Anolis sagrei: one gene and its partner. Each later gene encodes a partner of the first gene's protein in a complex. Links are inferred from orthologs where the notes say so. Each region holds a gene or a part of one and is shown on either strand. Other genes may lie near its edges.

The links.
Region 2: the proteins of YWHAG (region 1) and HDAC4 are in contact, whole or in part, in a crystal structure (PDB 3UZD), measured with the Homo sapiens proteins. The link is inferred for Anolis sagrei from reciprocal best matches to the Homo sapiens genes YWHAG and HDAC4. Residues at the interface, in NP_036611.2 of Homo sapiens: Asn43, Leu44, Ser46, Val47, Lys50, Asn51, Arg57, Phe122, Lys125, Arg132, Tyr133, Gly174, Leu177, Asn178, Val181, Glu185, Leu221, Ile222, Leu225, Asn229, Trp233; in NP_001365345.1 of Homo sapiens: Ser348, Pro349, Ser350, Leu351, Pro352, Asn353, Ile354, Leu356.

Annotation. Positions count from the first base shown.
Region 1 is NC_090031.1:32,897,360-32,905,219, forward strand, and holds the start of YWHAG (14-3-3 protein gamma), read left to right. Parts: upstream 1-4,819; 5' UTR 4,820-5,116; coding exon 5,117-5,203; intron 5,204-7,860. UniProt on the Homo sapiens protein: Adapter protein implicated in the regulation of a large spectrum of both general and specialized signaling pathways. Binds to a large number of partners, usually by recognition of a phosphoserine or phosphothreonine motif.
Region 2 is NC_090021.1:159,870,210-159,877,985, forward strand, and holds the start of HDAC4 (histone deacetylase 4), read left to right. Parts: upstream 1-4,774; 5' UTR 4,775-4,944; intron 4,945-5,098; exon of another isoform or gene 5,099-5,119; intron 5,120-5,471; exon of another isoform or gene 5,472-5,619; intron 5,620-7,776. UniProt on the Homo sapiens protein: Responsible for the deacetylation of lysine residues on the N-terminal part of the core histones (H2A, H2B, H3 and H4).

The DNA of each region.
Region 1 (7,860 bases):
GAGCATGAGCCCACAGTGGCCAAAGAAGGCACCAACTAATCACTCCCGACAGATGACCATCCAGCCCCAGCTTTGGCCAAGGCCTTTTGAGGCTCTTCAACATCTTTCTTTCTTTCTTTCTTTCTTTCTTGATTATTATTATTATTTATTGTTTATTGTTTATTATTATTTATTAATATTTATTTATTTATTTATTTATTTATTATGGGTTCTTTCCATCCAATGGCTGCTCCTCTTTCCTTCCTCCTGGAGAGAGAACGGATAGCCGGAGTGTTAACTAAACCACGAGTTGAGCATGAGCCCACAGCGGCCAAAAAAGGCACAATCTAATCACTCCCGACAGATGGCCGCCCAGTCCCAGCTTTGTTCAAGGCCTTTCAGGGCTCTTCAACATCTTTATTTATTTATTTATTCATTCATTATCATTTATTTATTTATTATTTATTATTTATTATTTATTATTATTTATTATTATTATTTTATTATTTATTATGGGTTCTTTCCATCCAATGGCTGCTCCTCTTTCCTTCCTCCTGGAGAGAGAAGGGATAGTCGGGAGTGTTAACTAAACCATGGGTTGAGCATGAGCCCACAGTAGCCAAAGAAGGCACCAACTAATCACTCCCGACAGATGACCATCCAGCCCCAGCTTTGTCCAAGGCCTTTTGAGGCTCTTCAACATCTTTCTTTCTTTCTTTCTTTCTTTCTTTCTTTCTTTCTTATTTATTATTATTATTATTATTATGTTTTATTTATTTATTGTTTATTATTATTTATTATTTTTATTAATTAATTAATTATTATTTATTTATTATGGGTTCTTTCCGTCCAATGGCTGCTCCTTTTTCCTTCCTCCTGGAGAGAGAAATTATAGTCGGAGGGTTAACTAAACCATGGGTTGAGCATGAGCCCACAGTGGCCAAATAAGGCACCATCTAATCACTCCCGACAGATGGCCATCCAGCCCCAGCTTTGTCCTAGGCCTTTCGGGGCTCTTCAACATCTTTATTATTTATTTATATATATTATTTATTTATTATTTATTATTTAATAATAAATAATAGAAAGGAGGAAACCATGAAAATGAACAAAATCTGGCTACCAGTATTATTTATTTATTTATTTATTTATTATTATTATTTATTCATTAATAATACTGGCTACCAGTATTTAAAAAAAAAAACACTCTAAAATTAGAACAGCACGACAACAGAGAGGAAACAAACCAACAAGGACATCGAATCACCTCTCACCAAAAGATTGCTCCAGGCACTGCCAGGCCATCAAATGCTAATCAAGGTAGTCCATTGAAACATTCCCACCTAGTTCCAACAGACAAGTGTCCTTTGTCCCACCCTGGACATCATTCCACAGATATATAAACCCCTTTTTCCTCGTTCCAACAGACCTCACTACCTCTGAGGATGCTTGCCATAGATGCAGGCGAAACGTCAGGAGAAAATGCCTCTAGAACATGGCCATATAGCCCGGAAAAACCTACAACAACCCAGTGATTCCGGCCATGAAAGCCTTCGACAATTTATTTATTTATATTTATTTATTTATATTCATATTTATTTATTTATTATTTATTTATTATTTATTTATTATTTATTTATTATTTATTTATTATTTATTTATTATTTATTTATTATTTATTATTTATCTTTGGACGATGAGATCACATTGGACCATCTTCTTCTTTGAGGTTTTAAGCAGAGGTTTGGATGGACCATCTGTCAAGAGGGCTTTGATTGTGTCCTCCTGCATGGCAGAAAAGGGTTGGACTAGATGGCCTTTGGGGATCCCTTCCAATCCTACGCCTTTGCACATCCAAAATGACCGCAGATTGGAAAGGGTTGTACTAAATGGCCTTTGGGGATCCCTTCTGGACCTTTGAACGTCCAAATTTAAGATCTGGGCCATCCCTTTGAAACCCATTGGGATTGGATGGAGCAAAGACAAAGGGAAGAAGCCAAACAATGGGGCAATTTGGCAGATGTTTGGGCGGCAAGAAGACATCACAGCCGAGGAGAGGAAATAATAGTGGGGTCTGCCACCTGGACCCTTTGACGCCCATCGTCCTGGGTTAATTAATAATAAATACACTATTAATGAATGATTAATAACTAAATGCTCATCCACCGAGGCCAAAGGCGCGGTCGTAAACAAAAAGACCTGGAAAAGCCATTTGCTCACTACCTCTGAGGATGCTTGCCATAGATGCAGGCGAAACGTCAGGAGAGAATGCCTCTAGACCATGGCCCTATAGCCCATTTGCTCTATGCTTGAATTCCACCTCCACATTAAGGACTGTGTCTCCTCCTCTAGAGGCTTTGAAGCACAAGCTTGGGTGGCTATCTGTTGGGAGGGATCTGATGGTGCCTTCCTGCCTGGCAGAAGGGGACTGGACTGGATGGCCTTTAGAGGGACCCCTAGGATATTTTCATTAGGTGTATAGATTATTATTATTATCAGAGGGCTGGATGACCATCTGTCAGGACGGATGGTGTTTTTCTTGTGTTTTTCTTACATGGTGTTTTTCTTACATGGCAGGAATGGGGTTGGACTGGATGGCCTTTGGGATCCCTTCAACCTCTGAAATTCTGTGGTTTGTGTTTTTAACTGAGGCTGGATGGCCATCTGACAGGAGGGATTGAATGGTGCCTTATCTATCAATACGCATAATGATTTGGAAGGGACCCCTAGAATATTAGTATTATAATATTATAATACTAATTATAATCGAATATATAATATATTATAATATAACATTATAATACTAATTATAATGTAATATAATCCTGAATAGACTACTGCAACACACTCTACGTGGGGGTTGCCCTTGAAGACTGTTCGTATAATATAACATTATAATACTAATTATAATGTAATATAATCCTGAATAGACTACTGCAACACACTCTACGTGGGGGTTGCCCTTGAAGACTGTTCGGAAACTTCAACTGGTCCAGCGAGCGGCAGCCAGATTACTCACCAGAGCATCATACAGGGAGCACCCCACCCCCCTGTTGTGTCAGCTCCACTGGCTGTCGGTCCAGTTCCGAGCACAATTCAAGGTGCTGGTTTTGACCTACAAAACCCTATACGGTTCCGGTCCAGCGTACCTGTCCGAACGCATCTCCCTCTACGTCCCACCCCGGAGTTTGAGGTCATCTGGCTAGGCCCTGCTCTCAACTCCACCTCTATCACAAGTGAGGTTGGTGGAGACGAGGAGCAGGGCCTTCTCAGTGGTGGCCCCTCACCTGTGGATCTCACTCCTGGGGGAAATTAGGTCATCAACTTCCCTCCTCTCCTTCAGGAGGAAAGTAAAGACGTGGTTATGGGACCAGGCCTTTGGGCAATCTGACAACTAGATAAGGACAATCAGACAATTAGGACTGACAGGACTGACAAAGTGGAATTGGAAACTGGACTATGAGATGGCGAACGCTGACCGTTAATGAGGTGCAATTGGTTTTTAGTGGTTTTATCGGCTTATTAGTTTTATTGTTATATGCAGAACTGTTTCTTAACTGTTAATTGCTGCTAGATTGTTTTATACTACTGTTATGTGATGTCGGCATCGAATTGTGCCTTTGTAAGCCACCCTGAGTCTCCTCCGGGGTGAGAAGGGCGGGGTAGAAGTAACCGAAATAAATAAATAATAAATAAGTTTATTATATATTATCTTACAAAATTATAATACTAATTATAATATAATATAGTATTATAATATAATATATTATAACATAATATTATAATACTAATAATTATATCATCATCATCACTTTATTTCTTAATTAGTCGCTCTCTACCAAGGTGCTCCGAGCGACTTACAATTTAAAACAGTTTATACACAATATAAAACATTCAATATAAAATATATTATATAGAAGATATAATATGTTATAATATAACATAAATATAATGTAATATATTATAATATAATACTAATTATAACAGAATATATTATAATTTGGAATGTTAATATTATGTTATAATATTATGTATTATAATATAATTATAATATACTATATAATATAATACCAATTATAATAGTATATATAACATTATTATACTAATTAAAATGTAATATATTATATATTATACTATATTATAATATAATTATAATAGAATATATTATAAAATAATATTATAATTCTAATGTAATATATTATAATATATAATATATTACATTATAATTCTAATGTAATATATAAAATAATACTAATTATAATATATGTATTATAATATAATCATAATATTCTATATATGATACTAATTATAATATAATATATTATAATATAGTATTAAATATTAGATTAGAATATTATGTATTATAATATAACTATAATATATTAAAAATAATATAATACTAATAATTTACTATATTATATATTATAATATAGTATTAAAATATTATAATATTATGTATTATAATACAATATAATGGAAAGGGACTCCTAAGAGCCATCCAGTCCAAGCCCTGAATGAGTGTGTGGCTTGAGGACAAAAAGCAGCGCGCGTGGCTTGCTGGGAAATGTAGTCCCCTCCGCCGCGGCTTCAGCTCTGACCGCGTTACTATCATTCGGCAAGGGAACTCTATCTCCCGTCGTGCTTTGCGCGCGGGGAGAGGGCGGGAGCGTTTTAGAGAAGAGGAAAAGGAGGGCGTGGCTCTCCGGAGAGAAAGAGGCGGGGCTTCTGTTTGGCAGGAGGGCCGCGCAAGCGCAGAGGGGCGGGGGAAAAAGGAGGGAGAGAAAGGGGCGGGGCTTCTGTTTGGCAGGAATGCCGCGCATGCGCAGAGGCGCGCCGCCGCCTTCGCTGCGTCGCCTCTGCCGTCAGAGCAGTCGCGGCGCGAGCGGGGAAGGAGCCTTGTGCGCGCTCTCCGTCTCTCTCCCTCTCTTTCCCTCTCTGAAGCCCGGCCAGCCAATCAGATCGCTCGCTTGCTCTTTTTCTCCTCTCTCTCTCTCTCCTTCAGCCCGGTTGGTTTTGTGTTTCTCTCTCCGAGGCGACTCGGTCGGGCGAGAAATTTCCCCATCTTCTTGTCTTTTGAATAGATATATTTAAATTTTACTATTTCTATCTATTTTAAAAACAACCGCAATCCAGGAAGATGGTGGACCGTGAGCAGCTGGTGCAGAAAGCCCGGCTGGCCGAGCAGGCTGAGCGCTACGACGACATGGCGGCTGCCATGAAGAACGTGAGTGTTTGGCGCCCGCCCGCCTCCTTTTTCGCCCCCATTGATCTCTATTGGGGAATCGATATCTATTGGTTTCTGGGCTATTGATACCTATATATCTATTCATTTCAGGGCTATTCATAGAGGTTTTTGAGGTAAAGATAGATTAATCTCAGGGCTATTCATATATATTGATTTTTGAGGTAAATCTGTATTAATATCCCATAAATTAATATATATTTACCTCAAAAATCAATATTTCTGGGGTATTAATATATATTGATATCTGGAATAATATGTATTAATATTTATTCATATATATTGATGCCGGGGTATTAATATATATAAATTTCTGGTGTATTAATATATATAAATTTCTGGTGTATTAATATATATTGATTTCTGGTGTATTTATATATATTAATTTCAGGGCTACTCATATATATTGATTTCTGATGTATTAATATATATTAATTTTGGGGATATTAATATATATTGATTTCAGGGATAAATATATAATAATTTCTGGGGTATTAATATATATTAATTTCTGGGGTAAATATATATTAATCTCAGAACTATTCATATATATTGATTTTGAGGTATTAATATATATTGATATCTGGGGTAAATATAGATTAATTTCAGGGCTATTCATATATATTGATTTCTGGGGTATTAATATATAATAATTTCTGGGGTATTGATATATATTAATTTCTGGTATATTAATATATATTAATTTCAGGTGTATTAATATATATTAATTTCTGAGGTATTAATATAGATTAATTTCTGGGGTATTAATATATATATTGATATCTGGGGTAAATATGTATTAATTTTAGAACTATTCATATATATTGATTTTTGAGGTATTAATATATATTACTTTCAGGGCTATTCGTATATATTAATTTCTGGTGTATTAATATGTATTGATTTCTGGGGTATTAATATAGATTAATTTCTGGGGTATTAATATATATTTATTTCTGGGGTATTAATATATATTGATTTCAGGGCTATTCATATATATTAATTTCTGGGGTATTAATATATATTGATTTCTGAGGTATTAATATATATTGATTTCTGGGGTATTAATATATATATTGATATCTGGGGTAAATATATTTTAATTTCAGGGCTATTCATATATATTGATTTCTGGGGTACTAATATGTATACTAATTTATGTATATACTAATATATATTAATTTCGGGTTTATTAATATCTATTGATTCCTGGGGTATTAATGTATAGATTTCTAGGGTATTAATGTATAGATTTCTGGGGTATTAATATATAGATTTCCGGGGTATTAATAGCTTATTAATATATATACATACATATTATATATACATATATGCATAATTATCTATGCTCACACATATTTAGTGTACATAGATATACACATATGTGTAGGGTGGCCTAAAAGTCCCCATAAATGGGAAAAATTAGCAAACTCGTATATTATATCTATCTATTTCTAGCTATCTATCTATATGTGAGTATTTTGCAACTAAAGGTACATTTAGCTACAATTTCTCATTTGCCCCAATGTATTTTGGGTCATACTTATGCACCTTCACACACATAATATACATAAATGCACACACCTATATGTATATGTATCACATATATAATATGTATACTTATGCACATATATATTTATACACATATATATTTTATGTGTAATATATGCATATATATATATATATAGAGAGAGAGAGAGAGAGGTATATGCATATATAGATCCACATATCGGTGTTGGTCTGCACACATAGATGTATATATAGATACCCCCATATATAGAGAGAGAAGGGGAGTATACTCATATATAGATCCACATATAGTTGTTGGTTTGCACACACACACACACATGTATATATAGATACCCCCATATAGAGAGAGGGGGGTATATACATACATAGGTCCACATATAGGTGTTGGTCTGCACACATACATATGTATATATAGAAACGCCCATATATAGCGAGAGGGGTATACGCATATATAGATCCATATATAGGTGTTGGTCTGCACATACATGTGTACGTATAGATACAGACAAACACACACAGATCCACATATAGGTATCGGTCTGCACATACACATGTACATATAGATACACCCATACACACACACACACAGATCCACATATAGATGTTGGTCTGCACACACACACATATCTATATATAGATACCCCCATATATAGAGAGGGGGGCTATGCATATATAGGTCGACATATAGGTATTGGTCTGCACGCACACACATGCATATATAGATACCCCATATACATGTAGAGAGAGAGGTATACACATATATAGGTCCACACATAGGTGTGTGTCTGCTTGCACTACATATGCATATATGGATACCCTCGAACGTAACGCATAGAGACAAGAACAGAGGGGGGAAAAGGAGAGTTACAAATGGAAAAGAGTGATTTCCAAAGATGGGAAGGAGTGCAATTTAAATTAATATATAGCAAAAAGGGGAGGTTGTGCAAAAATCGAAGGATGGATTGAAAGACAGAATGTCCAGCCATTTTTCTTTTTTACTATTCCAGTACTACTCTTCCAATATGACACAAACTGGGCTGTTGTTATCATTTGTATTGCTTGGAAAGGAATTGGTAGATTTTGTTCAATACATTGGCTCCGGTTCTGAT
Region 2 (7,776 bases), on another chromosome or scaffold:
TATGCTTTTGCCTAGTTACAAAAACCCGCCGCCTTGTTTTGGCGCTGGAGCTTGAGCACCTCAAAGATGTCATGAGCGAAACCATGAAAGGCCACCCAAGACGGGATGGTCATGACAGAGAGGTCAGACCAAGCACGATCCCTGGGGAAGACAATAGCAAACCTCCCCAGTATTCTTGCCAAGAAAACGAAATGGACCAGTACAACCAGAGATATGTTGGTATGCCATTGGATGATGGGACTCCCAGGTTGGAAGTTGGCCAAAATGCTACTGGGGAGGAGCAGAGGATAAGTTCAACTAGCCCCAGATGTGATGATGCAGATAGCTTAAAGCCGAAAGGAAGGCTAGTGGCCAACGGTGCTGGAGGTGAATGACGAATCCGATGCTCTAAAGAGCAACACACCAAATGAAAAAGGAAAGAGGGTCCGACCAAGGACAAGATGGATGGATGGCATCCTAGAAGTGACTGGATTGACCTTGAAGGAGCTGGGGGTGGTGATAGCCGACAGGGAGCTCTGGTGTGGGCTGATCCATGAGGTCACGAAGAGTCGGAAGCAACAAAATTTAGTTTCTAGAAGTAGGAGGTCTGGTTTTTCTAAGGATGTTTCAGGGTCACATTAAATTTGAAGAGAAAGTTGGGTAAATACTACATGCTACAAGTTACATATATCTATTACAGATAATTAATGTAATATAATATTATAACATATATGTATGCATGAAGATTATTGGCTTTTATATATACATTTGGTGGATATTTAAGTTGGAGAAGCAATATGTACAATATAAGTTTATTTATTTATTTATTGTGTCAGGGGCAGACCAAACAGTTGCATTGCATTTTTTTAACAAACAAAACAAACAAACAAAGCTTGTCAGTTTGCAAAGTTTGCAAGCTTAGTAGTTGATTAAATGTCCTTTGACCAGTAGCTGGCCACTTGGAGTGCCTCTGGTGTTGCTGCAAGAAGGTCCTCCATTGTGCATGTGGCATTCACTCAAGTTTAAGACATTTTCAACCGAAAATCCATGCAAACTATTCCTAACTAGAACTGTTTCCATCTAGATAACAGCAATAGTGCCATCAGCTACTTCTTCCCCACCCCCCCCCCCCATATCATATGCAAAAAAACAAAAAAAAAAAAAAACCCCAAAAAACCCCAATGTATTTTTTTTTTAGGAAATTCCTTACAAGGCAAGAAATATATCTTCATGATCAAGAGAGTTTCAGAGTATGTCCAAATACATCCTGATATCACATTAATAAAAAAAAAAACATAAGAATGGGAGCAGGCAACAAAGTACTCTCTTATGACTAGAGCTTTCTAACTATTTTACATACACAGGCATGGGCAACTGCAAAAACCCAATTTGTTTTTTTTTTTAAGATATTTTATTATGTTATACACACAGATCAATAAGCCAAATTCCAAGTGTTACACATATAAATCCTGAGTCATTCAACAAATATTAAAGACATTATGTTAATTTACTCTGGTGTATATTACATTATCTCCACCTTCCCTCCCTCTCCCTCCCTCTTTAACCACAGTATATTTCTACTAATCTTGCAGATCCAGCCACTGGTAGAGTCTTTGTATTTTTTTTTCTTTGATGTGATCGTTGGCTTCTCCATTTTTCACCCAGTTGAAGTAGACCTTCCATCTATTTGTAATGATCTTTTCTTTGTCCATTCTTGGTGTTTGCTTAGTCATAATTCCCGTAATATCTAACAGCACTTGGTCATACATATAATCATTCCAATTACTTAACGTCCATTTCGATTTGTCTTTCCATCCTCTAGCAATCACCGCATGGGCTGCTCTTATTGTTACCTTAAATAACTCCTGGCAATTAGTTATTATACTCGGATGATCCAACACTCCCCATAGTAGCAAATCATTATTAATTTGAATTTTTATCTGGAATATCTCCTGAATTTTTCCTTGTATCAAAAACCCAATTTGCATAAATTGAAAAATGTCCAAAATCATTTTGATTATGATTATGATTTTTGATTATGATTTATTTATTTTGAACATTTCTACCCTGTCCTTCTGTTATGCACTCATATGCACACATGCGGATCTACTTATATATATACTAAGATGTTCATATTTGTGCATATACATTCCAGTGAAAAACGGAGTGAATTTTTTAAAAACCTCTTCCATTGGATGTCCCTTGTACATCCTCCATCTTGGAGATATGATAGCTTTGTATAAATATGTCAGAGGAAGCCACAGGGAGGAGGGAGCAAGCTTGTTTTATGCTTCTCTGGAGACTAGGACAGGGAACAATGGCTTCAAACTACAAGAAAGGAGATTCCATCTGAACATGAGGAAGAACTTCCTGATTGTGAGAGCCGTTCAGCAGTGGAACTCTCTGCCCCGGAGTGTGGTGGACGCTCCTTCTTTGGAAGCTTTTAAACAGAGGCTGGATGGCCATCTGTCAGGGGTGATTTAATTGCAATATTCCTGCTTCTTGGCAGGTGGTTGGACTGGATGGCCCATGAGGTCTCTTCCAACTCTGTGATTCTATGATTCCATGATTGTTCCGATACAGAGGAAGGCTGTGAGGATGGCAAGGGACTCAATCCCGGGATTAACAGGTCTGTGTGGGGATCTGCAGTCTGGGATTTTTGTCATCATTTAAAATGCGGGTTTTGGCACTGTCTGGAAGCACTCTAAGAGACTGTAGCTGGACTGGAACGTTCCTGTCTTGAACCAGAAGAGAGTGAAAACAATACTTTGCAGTGGTCCCCTTTGGCACTCTTTTGTCACCCAGCAATCCACTTGGTAGAACCAGGAAACCAGCAGCTCTACAAGCAGTGTAATAACAAGCTGGCCATTGAGCTTTCTTGGCTAGGAAGAGCTTCCTATTTGGACTGAGTGCTTTAATGATGAACAGGAACAATCCTCCTGTTTTTCGGTGTATTCTTTAGTTCTGACTGCTGTTTGTTCCTTTGGTCAGGCTGCCGGGCACAAATCCCGATTCCTGGCATCCATCTGCCTGTTGCCTATGACCAAGTTCTGGCACTGCCACCCTGGCTGGCTTTCTGTTTCTGGCACATTTAAAAGAACATTTTCTTGTGTGCTTTAATGTTTTTGAGCAATATGTTCCTTGGATTTATTTATTTATTTATTTTGCTTGCCTTGTCATCAGTTTAGGATTATTATTTTTTTTTAAAAAAAACAATAACAGAATATCTTGTGGGAGTGGAAACATATTTTTGTTCTCCCAATTTTGGTAAGATGTCTATTGACTTTTGACAGGTTCTTTCAATATAATCACTCTTTGCTACAACTGAGAAAGCAACACAAAAAGAACTTTAATGTGGGCACCTGGCTTGATGACATTCTCCAGCTATATTGCTCTACCTGAATCATTCGCCATCACAGCTTTAAAACACTTTACATGCCATGTATTTGGCTTTTTAGATTTACAGGGATAGCTCAGGAAGTGCAAACAATGAAGTGATTCTATGGAACAAGTATATATGATCAGGTGAGAATAAGAGTAGAAGGGACAGAAGTCTAGAGAAGGTGGACAACTTGACCAGCTGGTGATTGAAGATGTGCTAGGTAGTTGACATCCTGCCTCACACACCCCGACCTCAGTCTAGTCTTACTGGAAGCCAGGTCAATTGTGAGCTCAGGAAACCTACTATTATCATGAATACTACAAGCAGAAAGAAGAGTAGTTTTCATCATGGTGCCCAGGATCTTTGGTGTGTCTGTCAGCATAGCTTACAAAAATAGCAGGTTCTGAAAGTACGGTATCACTTAGACAAATGGTGTTTGGCACGAGTGGCAGTTGGGCATGCTTCCAATACATGACCTAGTTGGCTGGTGAATTAGCCTGTTGAACCTAGAAGGCATAGAGCCGGGGTCCTCAAACTTTTTAAACAGAGGGCCAGGACACAGTCCCTCAAACTGTTGAAGGGCCGGATTATAATTTGAAAAACAACCCATGAATGAATTCCTATGTATTCCTGACTGTGAGAGCCGTTCAGCAGTGGAACTCTCTGCCCCGGAGTGTGGTGGAGGCTCCTTCTTTGGAAGCTTTTAAACAGAGGCTGGATGGCCATCTGTCAGGGGTGATTTGAATGCAATATTCCTGCTTCTTGGATATTTCAAGGTACACAACCTCGGCTTTGGATATGAAACATTCAATCCCCCTGAAGCTATGTAAACACGGTGTACAGAGAGGCATTTTCTGTGGCGACTTGGTTCCACCTCCATTTTTTTGGTCGTGTCAGGAGCGACTTGAGAAACTGCAAGTTGCTTCTGGTGTGAGAGAATTGGCCTTCTGCAAGACGTTGCCCAGGGGATGCCCGGATGATTTGATGTTTTTATCCTTGTGGGAGGCTTCTCTCATGTCCCCGCATGAAGAGCTGGAGCTGATAGAGGGAGCTCATCCGCCTCTCCCGGGAGACCTCCATGGTGGCTGCCTATGGCCTCCAGTTCTGTGTGTGAGAGAGGAAAGAGGGGAGGGCGACCCTCTTTGTTTGCTTGCCCCTTCTTGCCGGCGTGGGCTTTGAGATACATGGCAAGAGAGAGAGAGAGAGAGAGAGAGAGAGAGAAATCTGGCCGGAGACTCGCGAAGAGAGCCACGCCTCCCGCTTCCGAAATCAGCCGAAATCAACTCCACTTCCGGCGTCGGAGAAAGGAGGGGGAGAGCAAGGGAGGAGGGAAACGTTGCTATTAATAGCCCCGCTCTCTGATTGGCCCGCGGGAGCAAAATAGGGGGGAGGGAAAAAAAAAAGGAGGTTTGTACCACGTGACTTTCCATCTGAAAACTCCAAGATGGCGGGTCCCGTCACGGGCTGATTCCGTTGGCGGCGCGCGCACCGTTGTGCCAGCGCCGAGGGCTTGCCTGCCTGCTTGCTTTCCTCCCTTCCCCGCATTCTCTGCGGGTCTTGCCGTCTGAATGTCTCCGGCTGAGGTAAGTGCTTGGCCCGGAAAAAAAAACCCCGTTCTGAGGCCAGTTATTATTCTGCAGTCGTTATTCGCACTTCCCCTTTAAACAAAAAAGCGGGGGGAGAGATAGAGGGAAATTGTGTCCTCCGGCTTTTAAAGCAGCCTTAAAGGGTCCCTTTCTGTTTCGAAACGTGTGCCTGGTAAGACCCCAACCGCGGTGGGAGGGGATGCAAAGGAGGAAGAGCGCGCGGAGGGAGGGAGGGCAAGGAGGGGGAAGGGCAATAGAATGCCCAGGGCTGGAGTGTGTGGGGGTCGCGCGCGCGGGGAGGGGGGGTAGTAGGAAGGCGGCTGAGTGGCGCTTCGAAGCACCAATCAGGGCCCCGTTGGCCGCCTTGGCGGGTGCTTTTGAGCCCATGTTCTCGGATGCCCCGGCGTTGGGTGAAGAGGCGGGGTGAGGGTAGGGGCGGGCCTTGAGCCCTTGACTGACACCTGCTCCGACCTATCGGAGGGGAGCCGCCCTTTCGGCGGAGAGCGCCGCTGTATTTACCCCTTCGCTGGGAACCCATCCCTCCCTCCCTCCTTCCTTCCTTGCCTCGCGCGCTGGCTCCGTTTTATGAATGAGGCGGGTGGGTCCCGGAGCCGCGCCCGTCTCGCCTCCCAAGCAAGCCCCTCCCTCTTCCTCGCCTTCTGGGCCGAAGGGGTGAGTAGAGCGTGCGCTTCAGGGAAGGAGGGAGATGCGGTGGAGCCGAGGGCGAGGCTGGGCGGTGTCCCGGCTGCCAAGAGGAGGGAGGAGAGGAAAGGAGAGGAGAGGAAGGCCGCTCGCCTTTTCGCCTGCCTCAGGGCACGATTTCAGTCAGGCAGTCGGTCAGTCAGTCATCCTCCTGCGGTGTAATGGCTGGGATATTGACAGAGGAAGAAGAGCAGGCCGGGCCTTCTGAATGGAGCGCTTTGACTCCTGGGAAAATGGCCCTGGCAAAGAACAGCCTCGGTGCGGTCCTTTCCAGGCTGTGGTACCCGAAGCTTTTGTCTGGGCAGCTCTGCTGATAGATAAGCAGGAGCAGGCCCTCTCTCTCTTGTTTGAAGCAGGAGCGATCAGGCCTCTCCTAGGATTTAAGGCTCTTTGCTGAGTCCACCCCACAGGGTTGTAGGCAAAATGGAAAGAGGAAGCCAAACGGAACCTCCAGGAAAAAGGATGGGGAAACAACCGTCTGCCAATGTGCATGTCTCATGTGCTCTTTCTGTGGGCCCTTCCGCACAGGCATATAACTCAGTATATCAATCAATCAAATCATTGATTGATTGCAGGTGAAACGTCACGAGAAATGCCTCTAGAACATGGCCATATAGCCCGAAAAAACCCACAAGAACTGAATCAAATCATTTATTTCGGTCATTGACCAGCACAGGAAATAGAGTCACATTTTCATACAAACTTGGTATGTTTGGTACATTAAAAATATAAATATAACTACTAAAGCACAATATGGGTGAGGGAGCAGAAGGGGAAACAGGTTAAAAACATACAATGCCCAGATCCATCACCAAATTGCAGATTCAGGGAAGAAGATTACTGGACACACAGTTGACTTTGGGACTAGTCATTCCCTGGCAAATTTTTTATGCTGCTGCACAGAACTTTGCAACATTGTAGGTTGTAGCTGAATTAGTATCTGCAAGTAGCATGGAGGTATAAAATTGTCCTGAATGGCCTGGGTGCTTGTATATCAGAGGTAAGATAAGCCTGGCACGGATATCCCTGTAGAACGGGCTCCCTCAGTATATCATAGAACAGTCTTTCTCAACCTGGGGGTCGTGTCAGGAGGGACTTATTTATTTATCGTGTTATTAGCAACCATACCATTGTATTACATTTTTGACAGAACAAAACAAACAAACAGATTTTTAAAAAACACAGATTTTGCAAACTTGGTAGTTGATTAAATGTCCTTTGACCAGTATCTGGCCACTTGGAGTGCCTCTGGTGTTGCCGCAAGAAGGTCCTCCATTGTGTGTGTGGCAGGGCTCAGGGTGCATTGCAGCAGGTGGTCAGTGGTTTGTTCTTCTCCACACTCGCATGCCGTGGATTCCACTTTGTGGCCCCATTTCTTGAGGTTGGCTCTGCATCTCGTGGTGCCAGAGCGCAGTCTGTTCAGCGCCTTCCAAGTCGCCCAGTCTTCTGAGTGCCCAGGGGGGAGTCTCTCATCTGGTATCACCCATGAATTGAGGTGCTGGGTTTGGGCCTGCCACTTTTGGACTCTCGCTTGCTGGGGTGTTCCAGCAAGTGTCTCTGTAGATCTAGGAAAACTATGTCTTGATTTAAGTCGTTGACGTGCTGGCTGATACCCAAACAGGGGATGAGCTGGAGATGTTTCTGCCTTGGTCCTTTCACTATTGTCTGCTACTTCCCGGCGGATGTCAGGTGGTGCAATACCAGCTAAGCAGTGTAATTTCTCCAGTGGTGTGGGGCGCAGACACCCTGTGATAATGTTCAGGCAGTGCTTCTTGTAGGTCAGAGCACGGTCCAGAGTGACTCCCGGGTATTTGGGTGTGCTGCAATGCTCCAGTGGGATTCCTTCCCAGGTAATCCTCAGAGCACGGGATGCTTGTCTGTTCTTAAGGTGAAAGGCGCATGTCATGGGTCATCCAGTCCAACCCCCTGCCAAGAAGCAGGAATATTGCATTCAAAGCACCCCTGACAGATGACCATCCAGCCTCTGTTTAAAAACTTCCAAAGAAGGAGCCTCCACCACACTCTGGGGCAGAGAGTTCCACTACTGAACGGCTCTCACAGTCAGGAAGTTCTTCCTCATGTACAGATGGAATCTCCTCTCTTGTAGTTTGAAGCCATTGTTTCATG